2 linked regions of the Drosophila melanogaster genome follow. The protein of the gene in region 1 purifies or fractionates together with the protein of each later gene. This does not show direct contact. Each region holds a gene or a part of one and is shown on either strand. Other genes may lie near its edges.

The links. The genes of interacting proteins can lie anywhere in the genome.
Region 2: the proteins of Cdk9 (region 1) and Rchy1 purify together in Drosophila melanogaster (affinity purification with western blotting; one study listed by BioGRID). This does not show direct contact.

Annotation. Positions count from the first base shown.
Region 1 is NT_033778.4:22,634,960-22,640,938, forward strand, and holds Cdk9 (Cyclin-dependent kinase 9), read right to left. Parts: upstream 2,769-5,979; 5' UTR 2,632-2,768; coding exon 2,447-2,631; intron 2,385-2,446; coding exon 2,300-2,384; intron 2,241-2,299; coding exon 1,983-2,240; intron 1,915-1,982; coding exon 1,228-1,914; 3' UTR 1,104-1,227; downstream 1-1,103. Other genes in the region: CG17807 (uncharacterized protein), read right to left, coding at 1-965; bonsai, read left to right, coding at 2,894-3,099, 3,159-3,292, 3,352-3,854; CG3732 (uncharacterized protein), read right to left, coding at 4,079-4,521, 4,578-4,894, 4,972-5,060; RpS24 (ribosomal protein S24), read right to left, coding at 5,741-5,979.
Region 2 is NT_033779.5:6,458,908-6,468,506, forward strand, and holds Rchy1 (ring finger and CHY zinc finger domain containing 1), read right to left. Parts: upstream 6,763-9,599; 5' UTR 6,622-6,762; intron 5,233-6,621; 5' UTR 4,937-5,232; coding exon 4,355-4,936; intron 1,810-4,354; coding exon 1,648-1,809; intron 1,575-1,647; coding exon 1,416-1,574; intron 1,088-1,415; coding exon 809-1,087; intron 741-808; coding exon 621-740; 3' UTR 108-620; downstream 1-107. Other genes in the region: HemK1 (HemK methyltransferase 1), read right to left, coding at 7,617-7,857, 7,912-8,432, 8,492-8,701.

The DNA.
Region 1 (5,979 bases):
CGAAAAGTCAAAGAAGTTCTCTTGCCGCGGGCTTGAGTGGTCAAACCGCCAGATGCACTGGGTACCACATCAATGTGCTTCGGTCTGATGCCATGCGTCCAATCGTATCGAGCTTCACCCGACATTATTAGCAAGGATCGGCGCGGAAGTCTGACTTGAACCTGGTCATCTCCTCGGCGGAAGTCCATTACCACGTCGGATTGCAGGGACAGCGAAAGAATGGGATCCAAGAAAGCACTATGTGTGTCCACATGCGGGGGAATTCCATGACCGGGTTCGTATTCATTCACTGTCAGCTGGTCAGGAGAACTCCAGTCCCAGGTGGAAGCGAAGCTATTTAGTCGTGGCCATAGAATATCACATGCTGATGGTATCGACTGTTCCAGAGGCTTCGAGGGATCCACATTATTGGTGCCGTAAAGAAACTCAAAGCCGAAGTGCTTGACGTTTCGATGCTTTAGAGATCCCGTGACTTCGGAGGTTCTGCCATCCTCGCCAATGGCCCTCAACAGCGTTGACTCCTCCTCTTCGGTGACAAAGTCAGCAATTATGTGAAGGCCTCTGGGAAGAGGCTTGTTCCACTCACTTTTTCCCGCAAGTGCCGGTAGTTGCCTTATATAGCTAAGGTAGGCTACAGCTCCCTGTTGTCCAATGGTCGATATATTGTGCATTCCCTCATAGATGAGCTGGGAGTCTTCCAAGCTGGCACAAATAAAAAAACAGTACGATTTGCCCGGCAACATGACCACTTGGATGACTTTTCCACCGGTCGCGGCAGCCTCCGTGAGCAAACACTCCTCCGTGAGTCCATTGCTGAGTCCCACGTTGAGAACCGCCAGGTAAGGGGTGGGTTCAGCGCTTGGAGACACCTCGCAGTCACTTTTGATGATTGCCAGACATCTTCGCTGCTTTTTATCCGCCTTTTTGGCCTTGTTTACCTTTTGCTGTGTTTCCTCAACGTGCATCTCGCGGCCAGTGTGTACACCCCTTTTCAATGTTTTTCTTTTTGTTCTAATACTTAAGTCGATTGTGAATACCCTTTCTTGCAACTTCAAGTAATTGTAGAAACTTTGAATAAAGAATAATAAGAAGCAGAGAAACATAATGTAGGTATATTTGGAGCAAGCGCTAATGCAAATGCCAATATTTTTATTGTACACTAACCTAATAACCTAACGCTAGTTGAAGGTGAGAAACTATTAGTCGGGTGCGTACACCTCTGGCAGTCTACCAAACCCGGTCAATCATACTGTTGTCCTGGGGCTTCTGGTTCATGGTGGTCAGTTGCTGGTGATAGTTGCGCATCTGGTTGCTGCGGCGTGGCTGCGCCAGGTACTCGAACATGCTCTGCAGGTGCTGGGACAGCATCTTGCTCAAGTCGCTGGGCATGGGATCCGTCCAGAAGAAGTCGTGATTCAGAGCTGTGTCCGCATCGATGCGTTTCTTGGGATCAAGGGTCAGCAATTTGTCCAATAGATCACAGCCGGTTTGATCCTTGACATACGGACGCAGGCGCTCCTTGACTCGACGCTTCTGGTTCTTTGGCAGCTCGATGGATTTGTACAGCTCCAGCTCCTCCACTCCCGGCCACACGTCCGGCGTAAAGGAGCCGCATAGCTGCGAGATAAAGGTTAGCTGCTGCTGCTCCGTATTGCCTTGCATGATGGGCGAGCGTGTCCACATCTCGGCCATTATGCAGCCGGCTCCCCACATGTCCACGGGTGGACCATAGTTGCGGTCACCAAGTAGCAGCTCAGGCGGCCGGTACCACAAGGTTACTACGCGATTGGTATAGCGATTCTTACTCTCGTTCTTTGGAATGCTAAAAGCACGGGCCAAGCCAAAGTCAGCCAGCTTTAAGATGCCATGCTTGGTAATCAGCACGTTGGCAGCTTTCATGTCTCGGTGCAGGATCTAGTAATGCAAATGAAAACAGATACATACAATGTAAAACCAAAACTTTGCTTAATGACATGACTCACCTTGTTGCTGTGGATGTAATACAAACCGTTTAAAAGCTGCTGCATAACCTTCTTAATCTCGCCCAGACTGAACTTGACGTTCATGTTGGACAGAAGACCTGCCAAATCGTGTTCGCAGAAATCAAAGACCAAATAGAAGGTGGATCTGTAACCATTCGTGGCGGTGGCCTTGGTGCGGCAGATCTCGATCAGATTCACCACGTTCTCGTGCTTTAGCAGCTGCAGGATGCGGATCTCTCGCAGAGCCGTGATGGGAAACTAGGGGAGCACATATATAAATAAGGAATTCGTCTCTTAAGATGTTGCTTTTCACGCACGCCCTCCTTTTCGTTGTCCATCAGCACCTTCTTCATGGCCACAAACTTCTTGTTGCCCTTTTTCTCGCGAGCCTTAAAAACCTCTCTGTAATCAAAGGGGTCGTATGTTTTAGTTTAAAGTTAGTTTTCACCAATTTGGAGACTTACCCGAAGGTGCCTTGGCCAATTTTCGCCACCTTTTCGTATTTGTTGCTCTCGTCGCAGTAGGGAAAGTCGTAGTCCTCGATGTACTTTTGTTTCTCCATCAGGGACATCGTGCGCGATGAGCTGGAGCCCACGTTGGAGGGCGTCGACCCCGAAGGCTGCTGGAGCATGTGGGACATGTGCGCCATGGTTAAATTTGCCTCTATTTGTACAATTTTCACAATCACAGTTTCGCGAGAAGCCGACAGTCGAAAAGAAAGAAATCGGCAACAATTGGTGTTTCTACAGCTGTTGACTAAAGAAATACCGGTGTGCACACACTGTCAAGGCCTATCGATAAGAAATCGATGGGTCAAACAGCTGGGTAGTAATAACTTTTCGATTGTTGGTATACACTGGCCAAGTGATATAACCTAGCCAAAATTTGTCCAACAAATAAAAGCCGAATTAATGAATAAACTGTTGAATATAGCCCAGGCAGGGCATCGGCAGTTTGTCCGGGAATATGCATTCAAGTCGGACCTGAAAATCAAATGGATGCGCCCCGAGAAGATCGCGTGCTATAAGCCCGAAAAGAGCGGCGATTTAGCCAAGCTGCCTCCTCTGAAAGCCGACGAACTGCTGCCGGAATACAGGGACTGCAAGGAGTTGGATAAGTATGTTGCAGTATTCTCTCAATATAATAGTTTATTTACATCATCTCACCATTTTGTAGAGCCGACGAGTCAGTTAAATCCTTGTTCAAACTGAGCAACAACGCTAGTTACCTGACCACAAAATTCTATCGCGATGAGATGGTCAAGGAGGTGCAAAGACATGCCCAGGATTTCGGCTCAATGGAGGCCAAATGTATGTATCTTTGCAAAGTGCACATATAGCAGTTCCCCCCAAATTTGCCCTTCTTTTAGTGGCAAAAATGACTGCAGTTATCCGCCGCTACCAGGAGCACATGGACAAGCATCCGCGCGACAAGATGATCAAGGTGCGTCTCAAGGAGCTCATCGACAAACGCAAGAAGTTCCTCAAGTACTTGAGACGTTGGGATTATCCCCGCTTCGAGTGGATTCTCGAGAAACTCGACCTGGTGTACAAGCCACCGCCCACACATTTCCACTGGATCACCCGCAAGGAATCCCTCCAAAAGTTGACCGACATATACTGCGAAAACCTAAAGGAAGAGCGGCTAGAGGCTTACCATAAGCAGCTGCAGGCCCAGCAAATACCCTTCCTTGAGGAGGCCATCAAGAAGATGCAGTTCGTGCGGCAGGAACAGATTTCCTGCGATGTCCCCGTGACCGTGACAGAAGAGAAGATCGCCGACTCAAAAAGGCAGCTGGAAATGCTGAAGGAGCTGCAGCAGGCGGAGGCAGCCGCCAGCAGCAAGAAACAAAACGAGGATGGCTTCAATTAGGCCCGATTCTTTAATGTTACGGTGTCTTACAATAAATGTAAATGCTGGTTTTCTTAAATTATATGTTTTATTATACTTTAAGAGTTAGGCTGGACATCGTACCCTATGTCATGATCATCTGAGCGCATACTGGCAAATAAATAAGAAGGCAAGCATGATTGCCTTAGAAAAATGTGTAAAAACAGACGCAATTAAAGAGAAGTTCCTAAAGGGTACGGTTGCAGCTAACGTCTGCCCGACGAGGAGGTTTTCCGCCTGCCGCCGCTGCTGGAGCTACTCGAGCTGCTCGACGAAGAGTCGCTGGAGCTGGACGAACTGGACGACGACGAGGAGGACACGGAAGAGGTAGAGTCGCGTGAGGTACGCTTGCGCTCCTTGTCGCCATTGCCAGTGCCCTCTTTGCTCTTGACATCCGTGGAAGTGACTTCTTCGTCGCCCCAGAGATCGTACTTTGATAGATCCTCGTCGTCTCCCTCGTCGTCGTCCTCATCTTCTTCCTCATCATTCCGCTGCTCATCTCGGCTAGACCTTCTGGGCCTCTTTGAGTCCTCTCTATGCTCGCCGTGCTTTCGCTTCTTGCGACGACCGAACTCATCGTACTCGCTATCCGAATCCTGACGATCCTTGTACTCTACCACGCCGCGATCATTGTATCCACCGCCAAAGCCTTTAAAGAAACTGGTTAAGTGGGTTTTGAAGCAGATCAGGCTTCTACGGACTCACCAGTCCGCTCCTCCACATCCGAGAACTTAGGAGCGTTGCACATATTGCAGGTTTGGCGACGGGCCCAGTTCACATTCGCGCATTTGCTGCACTGCCAGTCCTCGGCGCTGAACAAGCCCCGCGACTTGTCGGCCGCCGCCTTGCCGATCTCGGTGCCCAGCTTTTTCTTGCTTGAGCTGCTGCTACTGCTGCTGCTCCCGTTGCCGCGTTCCCGCTCCCGGTCTCGATCCCTGTCGCGCTCCGGCTTATCACTGCCATCGCGGTCCCGGTCGCATTTGTTGCACTGCAAACGGCGGGCGAAGTTCAGATGGCGACAGCTGCAAAATCGAGGGAAGTGTGAGACTCGCAGGACTTCTCACTTGGCCGCTATCACTGCATCTTTACGGGCACTCACTCGTAATCTGGGCAAATCCAATCGCCAGGCGAAGCGACGCCGCTGCTTCCCGCGGCCCCTGATGCCACGCCTCCATTTGAACTGGACATGTCTGTGCCTTGGCTGCGTCCTCTGCCAAAGGATAATGCTAACGGGCGTCCAAGTGATCCTCCTTAGGCCTCAGGAGCAGCATTTAACAGATTTTTTTTACCAATATTATATTCTGTATACGGTACGAAATAAAGTGGTCAAAACATCGATACCGTTATCGATAGTCTGGCTTCCGATGCAACAATCGATAGGTCATTCAAATTGTATTTGGGGTACTCCAAAACTTATTTTGGAATTTAATTGCAATTCAATTGAAAATATTTGGGTAGGTAGGATTTCCAGCTTTCAACTTATTTGCGATAAATCGCAGGTTTCTAAGCTGTAAACATTTTCCTTGTAAAAATAGGCCACCAAAGGAGTACAAGAGATCAACAAAAGTTATTGACAACAATCTGTGATTATCGCCACTCTTCAAATAGTTTTGCATATAAAATTGGTCCAGAAACACTTCAATTAAACAACTATTGCACTCGCGCCTTTCCCAGACAATGAACCACAAGAACTTGTATACTTTTAGAGTTTTATTTCCTTAGTTTACAAACAAAAGCCGCTCCAAAAGTAAACACTGATTTTGTTTTGTCGGTTGTTGATTGGTTGGTAAAGAAGTTTGACTAACGCATAACCAGCAGCTTTTGGGAATAGCAGGCGATGCCCGCAGACGAGCTTTCCTCCATCAGGCTTACTTCTTGCCAGTGCCGATCTTGGCCTTGGCAGTACCGCGCACCTTCTTCATCCTGTTGCGACGCTCCTTGCGCTGCTTGCGGGTCTGCTTCTTCTGTTCGAAGAGGCCGTGACGGGCCAGGCGGTACTTGGGCTCGAACTTCTTGGCGAAGTCCAGGGTGTCGTAGATGAGGGCAAAGCCGGTGGAGCGGCCGCCACCGAAGTTGGTGCGGAATCCGAAGGCGAAGACCACATCGG
Region 2 (9,599 bases), on another chromosome or scaffold:
ATTTTAACCAAAGCCTGTGAAATTGGAGTCAAAAGTTATAGAAATATAAAATCCCAATATGATCATTCAATTGAAAACTATAATATAAAAGGAAATACACTAAATATCCCTTTTTGTACGTTTACTTTTTTTATTCGTGGCAACGGAGCTTGCAATGTGTACAGAGAAATTCGAGATTTACACAAAATAATTTTTGCAAAATAGAATACTTGAAATTCGAGTGAAAATTTAAATTTAACAATGTGTGTTGTGTACAAAATATTGGTGCGTTGAAATCCTCTGGAGATTTAAAAACTCAATTAGGGTAAAATGTTTTTTAAATGCCTATTACGATTGAAACTAACTATTTCCATAAAAACTAATTGATATTTTTAAATCTTAAGGGGACCAGACCAATATTTAAATCATTTAGGGAGCCTTTTGTTTATGTTTGTTTGTATGGTTAATATTCGATACCAGCTCGAATTTGATCTAAATTCAATGCGTTTCGATTTCAGTTGTGTTGTCTTGAGCTAACAAATCAGTGTCCTCAGATGTGTGGGTAGCATGGCAAGAGGTTTCCTGTTGCTGATGCGAATATAGATGCGGATGCTGATGCTGTGGTTTGAATCGGGTGGATATCACGCCGAGGATGGTTCATCGGTGACCAGGGACAGGCGGCGTTTAACATCCTGCGTTGTATTGTAGGCGCCGCAATGGACGCACTTTAGTCCGATGAAATGGAATTTGGTTTTTGAAGTCTGTAATGAATTGGATAAGGTTATAAGAGCTTTTCATGAATGTTAGTATTATGTATATCTAGTCGTACCTTGTGACAATCGTTGCAGAATATGTGCACTCGCTGATTCTCGTACTTCAGTGGCACCGGCATGCGCTCCGCCTGGTCGTCCAAGTATACCCACAGCGCCGTCATATCGATCAGCGAGGTCTGGCAGGTGGGACAGGTGTAGTGGCCGGAGGCCAGCAGCTGGTCGAAGCACATCTTGTGCAGCAGGTGTCCGCAGTCGGGAATGTGGCAGGGTATGCGCGAAGTGTGGATGTCGCCCAGGCACACGGGGCAGTGCGATCGCGAGATGTTCTCCACGCACTACGGGAAAATAGACACGTTGTCAATTAGCAAGGATTTAGCAATCAGCCATGCCAGTCTCTGGCCCAATTCGCTGTCAATTAATGAAGTCATTGCTTCAGCACATTTGACATTCATATCCACTCAACTGGATCCCAGATTGCAGATCGCAGATCATATATCGCTACATATAGCAATTAGGCAACCGGTTTTGGTAATGAATTGACAAAAAAAAAAAAAAGTTAATGTGTTTCTTTGATTTGCTTTCGAATCGCGGAGGTCAGCATTCCCACTTACAGGCCAAATCTTAATCAAGCCCAATGAAGTGCCAAATGTAGTACCAACTCACCCGGTGGCCATCGATCTTCAGCTGAATAGGTAGGCACATGTTGCACACCTCGCAGTGGAAGAAGTTCTCCGCACCGCCAATGCGACAAATCCCACATCCATGACAATGGTACTGCTGCTTGTCCGCATCATCGAAGAGGTTGCAGATCAGGCAGGTGTACTGTAAGTACATCAAAATGATATTACTAGTAGGGTTTTGCTGTGATTTTTGGACACCTGGATGGATATCTTACCTTACCAAATCTCACGCCGCAATTGAGGCACTGCTCCCGCACCGTTTGCCGCGTATTGCACTCGGAGCATATTAGTTCGGTGAGCGTTTTGCGATCGAAGTGATGCGTCTCGTTCTCGTCGTGGCAAAATCGGCACTTGTAGAACTTGTTGCAGCAGGGGGTCTGAGAAAGATATAGTTGCGTGATCAGTATCAGATCAAATTAGTGCTGAAAAGAAATCGCTGCTCGAAAAAATTCCACTTTAAATGGAGCTGAGATTGCTCCCCGCCACACCTGCCGATGGACTACACCCCTCAGTCAAGGACTACGAAAAACCTATTATCGAGCGGCAATTAGCACGACTCCTAACTCCCCAAATGGAGTTGCTAATTTAAGAAATCTGCCTGGAAACCGACTAAAAAACAAATCTACTAGTGACGTCTACATGCCAAAGGCAATAACTTAGCATTATCATAAACAAGGCACTTGAAACTGAATCGAATTTTGTACGAATTTCGAGTCAAATCAGCGGGTGAATCCCAATCCGATTGTAAAGATGCCAAAGGTACTCGTGTCGTTTAATTAGGTGGCTGCTAATTAGTTCACCTGTCGATGCACAGCTCGAACTACATGATATAGTTCTATCAGTTTTGTCTTGGGGATAAAGTTTGAAAATAAGTTAATTTATGCCCTTAATTATCTTGTGTATCCTCGAGTTCGGCTTAGTTACAGCCAACACCCAGCCATTTGTATCTGCCTCCAGCCTCGCGCACACATCTATCTCCACTATCTTTGAGAATTATTTATAACTTAACAACAGTTTTTTCGTATACAAGTATTTATTTCAACTCTGCTGCTGCTGCGATGATAACACTCGAAGTACAGAACCGAACCGGAGAAGAGTCTTCGAATCCGGTTTCTTTGTCATTCCCCCCGGCTTTCATTGCTGTGCTTCACTAACGATCGTATTTTAATGATCGTTTGCATCTGCAATTGGCTAACTCCAGACATCTCAAATTTATTTAGCCAAGACGAAACAAAGCTTCTAACACAAATTGATACAAGATTCGCGGGAACAGGCGATATCCATGGGGCATTGCTCCACTTGGGGGATTGCACATACTGCTCTCAGCTTATGTCCACATTCATGTATACATTTATTTCACGCACTGTCGGGCGAAAATAAATATTTGACTATAAAATAACCCAGCTGATTCAACACTCAATGGGCACCTCATTAGTGCACAAAACCCTCGCTTATCCGAATTTCTCGCGGTGCACAGACGAAAGCAAAAACCTCTACATTCGAATTTTATTAAAATGTGGGACAGATTGAAGCGTGTGTACGGATTTACGTGACATTTTTTGGAAAGTATTGTAAGGCCATAGCGCATAATACAGAATTTTTGGGGAATTAATAATTCATATCGCGAATTGGCTGCTTTTCAACAACAAATAAGCGCTCACTACTGTTGGAATTATAAGTATTTAAATATTTACATTTAACTTTCTTTTTCTTTATTTAATAATCCAGGTCATTCACAAACAAATCTATCTAATCAAGTGCAGCTGCAGTCTTCTCTGCATGAGATACTTTATACATGAAATGGTTACCACTTTCCCCAGCACTGAGTTACTTTTCCCACCTTCGAACTTCTGTACTTATCACCTTACGATAATTATGTCTGCTGGCTCTACTAATTGTTAAGGTAAAGAACCTGAATATAGCCGTGCTACGATTGCTTTATATGCACACACAACATTTTTAGATGCCCCATAATTTGTTATCCAAACGCGAGCGATCAAGACAAACGCATTGTTTGCCCAGATGAATGGCGAATGGAGGTGTTAACTGGCCAGTGGCCACTCGCCTCCTGCTCAGTTCCTGCTCAGCGGAGCATGCTGACCAGTTAGTTTTTTGGATGCCGGACATCGTCAAGCTGTCCACACAAGCCAAACACTTGCCGTGCAAATAGCGATGCCCTCCAATTGAATTCAAAATCTAGTCAGCAGACAGACACAAAAGAATCTTCGCCAAAGGTGTCTGTTTAGAGTTTAGCCACTTTATTTGTTTAGGAACGAATAAATAAAGGTTAAATGCGCCCATTTTCAGGAAGGTAGCTGTGTTGGATAGACACACACACACACATAGATAGATAGATGGATAAATAGGCATACAAATGCCATTTAGAGGCGCCATCATAATCTTCTTGAAAATTTTCCAAATGGGTGAAATGTTTAATGGCTTTATCACTTTGAATTTATTTCAATGTATTTTTAGGATTCATTTTATAAAAGTGAAATGACTGATCCGCTTTCTAATCATGACATAGGGGTTCCAATTGCATAATTCTTTATCTGATGACCCAGGAATTGAACTATACCCGTATAAAATAAAAAAAGAACTTTCAAAATTGAAGTTTGTTCTTATATCACATAAGTTGACTGGTTTCACATTTGAGGTTTGAATAAACTAATCTCACTACAAGTAAGACTGCTAGATACATGGATCCGTCTAGTCTTTCTACGAACATCTATCTACTAATCTTAAGAATGGTTATAGATACTACGATACACTAAAAAAGGATTAAAATTTGTATTGATATACATATCAAAGAAGTTCAAGTGTATAACTTTTATAACTTTTCTGGGGCTTTTCCTTTTATGTAATGCTTGGAAAAGCATCCATAGATAATATGAATGGAGTTGGACTGCCTGTTGCACTTACCACGAACATGGCCCGCCGCTTGTAGTGAGCGCATCCGAAGCGCAATGACTCCGGAGTTGTTGGCTGCGCACCGCAGATGTTGCTGCTGCACTTGTTGCTGTTGCAGCTGCCGTCGCTGCTGCTGCTGCTGCTGTTGCACGATGGCTGTGCATGCTGCTGAGCCTCCGCGGCGGGGTTACGTGAGCATGCTGCAAAGCGATGGAGCTGGTCCTCCTCCATGGGCTCCGCCATGCCATCGCAATTGAGACTCGGCGTCGATTTGCATCTTCGCAGCTTGGCGTGCGCTGGATGATACTTGCCCGTCATCGTTGTGGGCGTCACAATCAGCTGGTGTTGCTGGTGGAGATGGGGATTGGGATGGGGATGGGGATGGGTATGTGGCTGCTGCGCTATCTGAGCAAGTGGAAGCGAAGCGGGCAGAGCAGCCTCCGCTGAGGTCGTCGTGGCTGACGATGAATTTAAATTGACTTGATTGGGCTCCTTTGTATTGGTAACTATTTGTACATCGATGCCGCCGCTGCCCATGTATCTGTTGTGGTTTTCATTTAGCGATATTCGGCGCGTTCGCTGGCGGTTCTTCATTTTGCTGCAGGAGCTAACTCTATGTATATATAGAGTTATGTATGTACGTCTATAAAAGTGATTTTCCACTATGCCTCGCAGCTGCAGTAGTCGTGGTTAATTGCTGGCCCTTTCAATTGCCGCCGCGAAGCATTTAAATTACTGGCCGATGCTGTTGTCGTTGTGCCACATGTAGACTTTGTATCCGCACTCAAAAAACCGACTGTCCGGTTTCCCTTTTCACGCGATCGCAACTAACTTTCGTTTGTCCAGCTCATCCTTGGGTATTAATGGGCTCGCACAGGTGACACACTCGGCTGAAGCGATTGAAAAGTGTGGGAAAGTGGTAAGTATTCCATTAGCAGGCCATTTCTCACACTCCGATCGATCAGATTAGAGTCTAAGCCGGGTTAACCCCCCACACCCCCACACAATTTTTGACACACAAATGAAACTACCGAGGCGGCGTATTTGCATTTCAATGTTTCCCAGTCCCCGACTGCGAAAGGCCATCTAAACTAGATAACGACTATCTTGATTTTCACTCCGTTTTCTTAGCCGTCGCGCACTGTACACAACGTACAATGGGGAACAAGAAGTAGTAACTTTATGTAAGAAATTATCAAATAAAAGATCACCTATGATGACTTTCTTCCATTTCTGTATAGTTTTGGATCAGATATGGAAACCTATTAAACCCATATCATTATAAAATGACAATTAACCTGTTAAGAACCCAAATATGTGCATATGAACTACTATCTTGGCCGCTGCTGTTTTTGGATGGGACCTTGTGCCATGTGAGCGGCAGCATATAAATCGCTTGCTTAGCCTGCAGGTCGCCAAAAACGTTCACAGCTCCACGGATTGGGAATCGCAGTGCCTTGGCACACGGTGCGGATGATGAATTAAAATGCGGGCAGGGAGCAGCCAGCCACACACTTGTTAACACAATCGGCGTGCGACTTTCGCTCATCGGTTGGCTGTTGCTGCAAGTCGGTGTTGCACGTAGCAGGTGCACATATTGATGCTGCCAAAGGAGGCATTACCAGCTATATATAAATGTATATATGTACATACTTTTATATATACTTTTATTTGCACAGCGCGGCAAGCTGCAAATTCGTTGCCGAATCTTGTTTGCTCAGATTGTTATTCGCATTTTCTGCGCCGGGGAGCAGGGACCGACAATAAATATTGAAAGTGTGCTAAAATTACAAACGCAAGGCGATTAAGCCAGCCTCGCCGGAAAACCAGTCGGCGAAAAGAACGCAAGTTTGAACTCGATTCAATTCGGTATTCATGTTTACGCACGCACGCACTCACGCACACAGGCACACACTTGCACGCGTCGATCGGGCGGATAAATGCATTAAGTAATGTCACGATCTGGCTAATTGGTTTCTAAAAGTTTCCAATCCACATTCAAACCGCCTTCAAATCGCAGTTTGGGCGTATGTATATATATATACATGTACATATATATGCACATTCATTCATTTACCCAAATCTATATGGTCAAATTTATGTAGAATTTTTAAAATCAATTTCTCGTTTAACGTGTTTCTCGTTTTTGTTTTGTTTCGGCGCTTTTTAAGTTCCCTCTTCTTGACTTTCATCAAGCGCTCATTGTGATATCCACTGAAACTCCGACTTTAATTATGATTTAGCCATTTGTTAATTATACTACACATATGTATGCGTACTTGAAAGTGAAACAACACACACCAGCCGAACGAAGGAGATCGCAGCTCGAAATCGTCAATTGAATTAAAGAGCTACGACAATCTAAATCCGCGTTCCACTCGCGCACCCGGATTCCGCAGACTCGTCCGGCGCGAGTTTCGACTTCCAACTGGCAACGGAAGTTAGCCACTTGTTGCTCCGAGCCACTCTGTCGGAGCTTTTATCCGCTCCGGAGCTTAAAGCTCTCCAGCGGAGCGGTTACAACAAGATTCAGATGCGAAGTCGGGGGATTTATGCACTCGGGTTCATAATTATGGTAATCCTTGTGGACATGTGTCCTTGTTTTCATAATCAGTACACCTATAAGCATTAAAGTGGTAACTTTAAGCAAAAACTTTCTAATTTGCATAGAAATATTCTGATTCTATATATTGACAGGATACACATCTTTCAGGCCAAAAATATGGTTAGCATTTTGCTTATCGCAGATATAGAATACATCAGTTTGATTAAACAGCATTATACTCGATCCGCGATGATCATTAACACCCTCCAATTTATGGCAGCAAGCCTCTGGTTATAAATCATAATCGCCATAGTTTAAATCAGTGACCAGTTATTATAGGTGCATTATACTTTTAACCTATTGATCTTTAAAATCATGTTAATCCATTATTATAGGATCAAAAATGCAGTAGAAAGCCTTAGGTAAAAGTCGTTGTGGTTTTTGTATACTGATAATAATATGGTCATAAATCAAACAGCTAATTGCATTGTGCAATTTATACAGGTATATTTGTGAAGTAATACCGCCTGCGGTTGTTGCTAAAAGATTCAGAGACGAAACTTAAGGATTAATAGCGCTATATATTCTGTTTATATAGGTGTGAGTCTCTGGGCAGCGTGCAGGTATGTCTGGTCTTAAATCAAATCACAGCTAAATGCATGGGCAACGTTATAGCTAATTGCATTGTCAAAGTCATAGCATTCCGTCCTGTCTATGGCGCAATCTCGCCTAGACCTTCTCGATCTGAACGAATCTCTCGCGCTGATACTGGTCACTGTAGCCGGCGATGAACTTGAGCCGGCCCTCGTACTTCAGATTCATAATGGTCTTCACCATCGGCGGGTGGTCGTTGCCCAGTTCCAGCCAGAGCTTGCCACCGGGACGCAGGTGCCGACAAGCCAAGTCGAAAACCAGTCGAGCCACCCTCAATCCATCGGACCCACCGTCCAGGGCATTAAGGTTCTCATACCTGGGGATATAAGATAGTTAGTGCACTGCATCCATCTGGTATAACATCACTTACACCACGACTTCGGGATGCAGAAACTGAAACTCCTCAGTTTTCACATACGGAGGATTGGAGATGATCAAATCGTACTTCTTGTCCTTCAGCGCCTCCGGCAGGTACTTGTCCTCCTCCATGGTGTGGTTGTGTACCTCAAATCGATTCAGCAGCCCCAGCATTTTGGCATTCTCCGCAGCCAGAACGGTTGCCGCCTTGCTACGCTCAATGGCAGTGGCCACCACCTGCGGCAGACTGTGTAGCATGGACAAGGACATGGCGCCCGAGCCGCAGCCCACCTCCAAAAGATCGACGTGCTTTGCGTTCTTGTGATCATCGATCACCAGGCGCATAAACTCCTCCGTTTCGGGGCGTGGAATGAAGACCGACGGCGATGTCTTCAGCGTAATGTCCATGAAGTCCCACTCGCCAATGATGTGCTGCAACGGCATGCGGGCACAACGGGCCTCCAGGAAGCGCTCGAAATCCGCCAGCTGGCCGGGATTTAGCTGCAGCTGGTCAAATGAGTCAGGAACCGAACTCTACGGAACGTAAACATGGTTAGTGATGTTGATAGCCAGCTTTTCTCACAGATACTTACAAACTTCTGCTTCAGGACATGCGACACGATGCATTTCACGTTGAACTTCCTGTCCTCGACGCCGGCGGCCTTGAGCTTTTCCTCCCACTGTCCAATTTCCAGGGCCTTGGTCACGGGAATGTGGGTGCCAGCTGGGGCATTTGTGCCATAGTTGACCTGCTTAAGCAGCCGCGAGGTCGGGCCCATTGACCGTGTCAGTTGTCTGAGCATTATTTCACTTATTATCTAATTGCTATTGATTAACAACAAAATTTTGACGACCCACTGCCTGCAGTTCGTTCCAGCGTGACCGTTTCTCGACCGTTACAATAAACCAGTGGTCGATATTTGAAAAGTGTTCACGCTTCAAGTGTTACCGTAGAGCGGAATAGTGTGACTTAATTTTCGAGTTCTTGGCGGAAAATTTAAACATGCAACATAATTAGGTTGTTCCAATTAAATGGAAAAGCAATATCAAGTGTTCACGCACTGATTGCAGTCGGCCCTTTTTGTTTATTGTTGCGGAAATAGGTCTATTAAGCATAACAATATGAAAAGGGGGAGTTATAATGGTGAATTATAATAATATATGTATGTATGTACATGAATAAAATAACTGTAAGAGAAAGTAGCAAAGCTCGTTAAGCTTTTTAATACTTTTTTTAAGAATATTCCTGACTAGCTTGGTCTAGTTTAATGTAAGTCCCTAGTCTGAAACGTAGGAAAATAGCTAAACTACTACTGGTCCATCAATAATCAATGCAAATTAGAACTGGTTTGAAGCATATGAGCTCTGACGTCTATATAATATGTAAATTTTATAAGAAACCAAGAGCATTACATAATCAGATAGATAGTTAATATATTCTGAGATATTCTGGATACAAAAATAATGACTTCTTAGCAAAAGAACTTCCAACTAAATGGGTTTACATAGTTAAGGTAACTCTTTTCTTTAGAACTCAAGTTGGCACGAAAACAAGAGGTTTGTTTGCCCAGCAATTGCTTTTATATGATTAGTCCATCCAACAAGACATTTCCCTGATATCTATTTAACAACCTTGTAAATAGAGAATGGCGCTTGTTCAAATATGGGATTGGTCTAGAGTATTTCTGCAAAAGATCCATT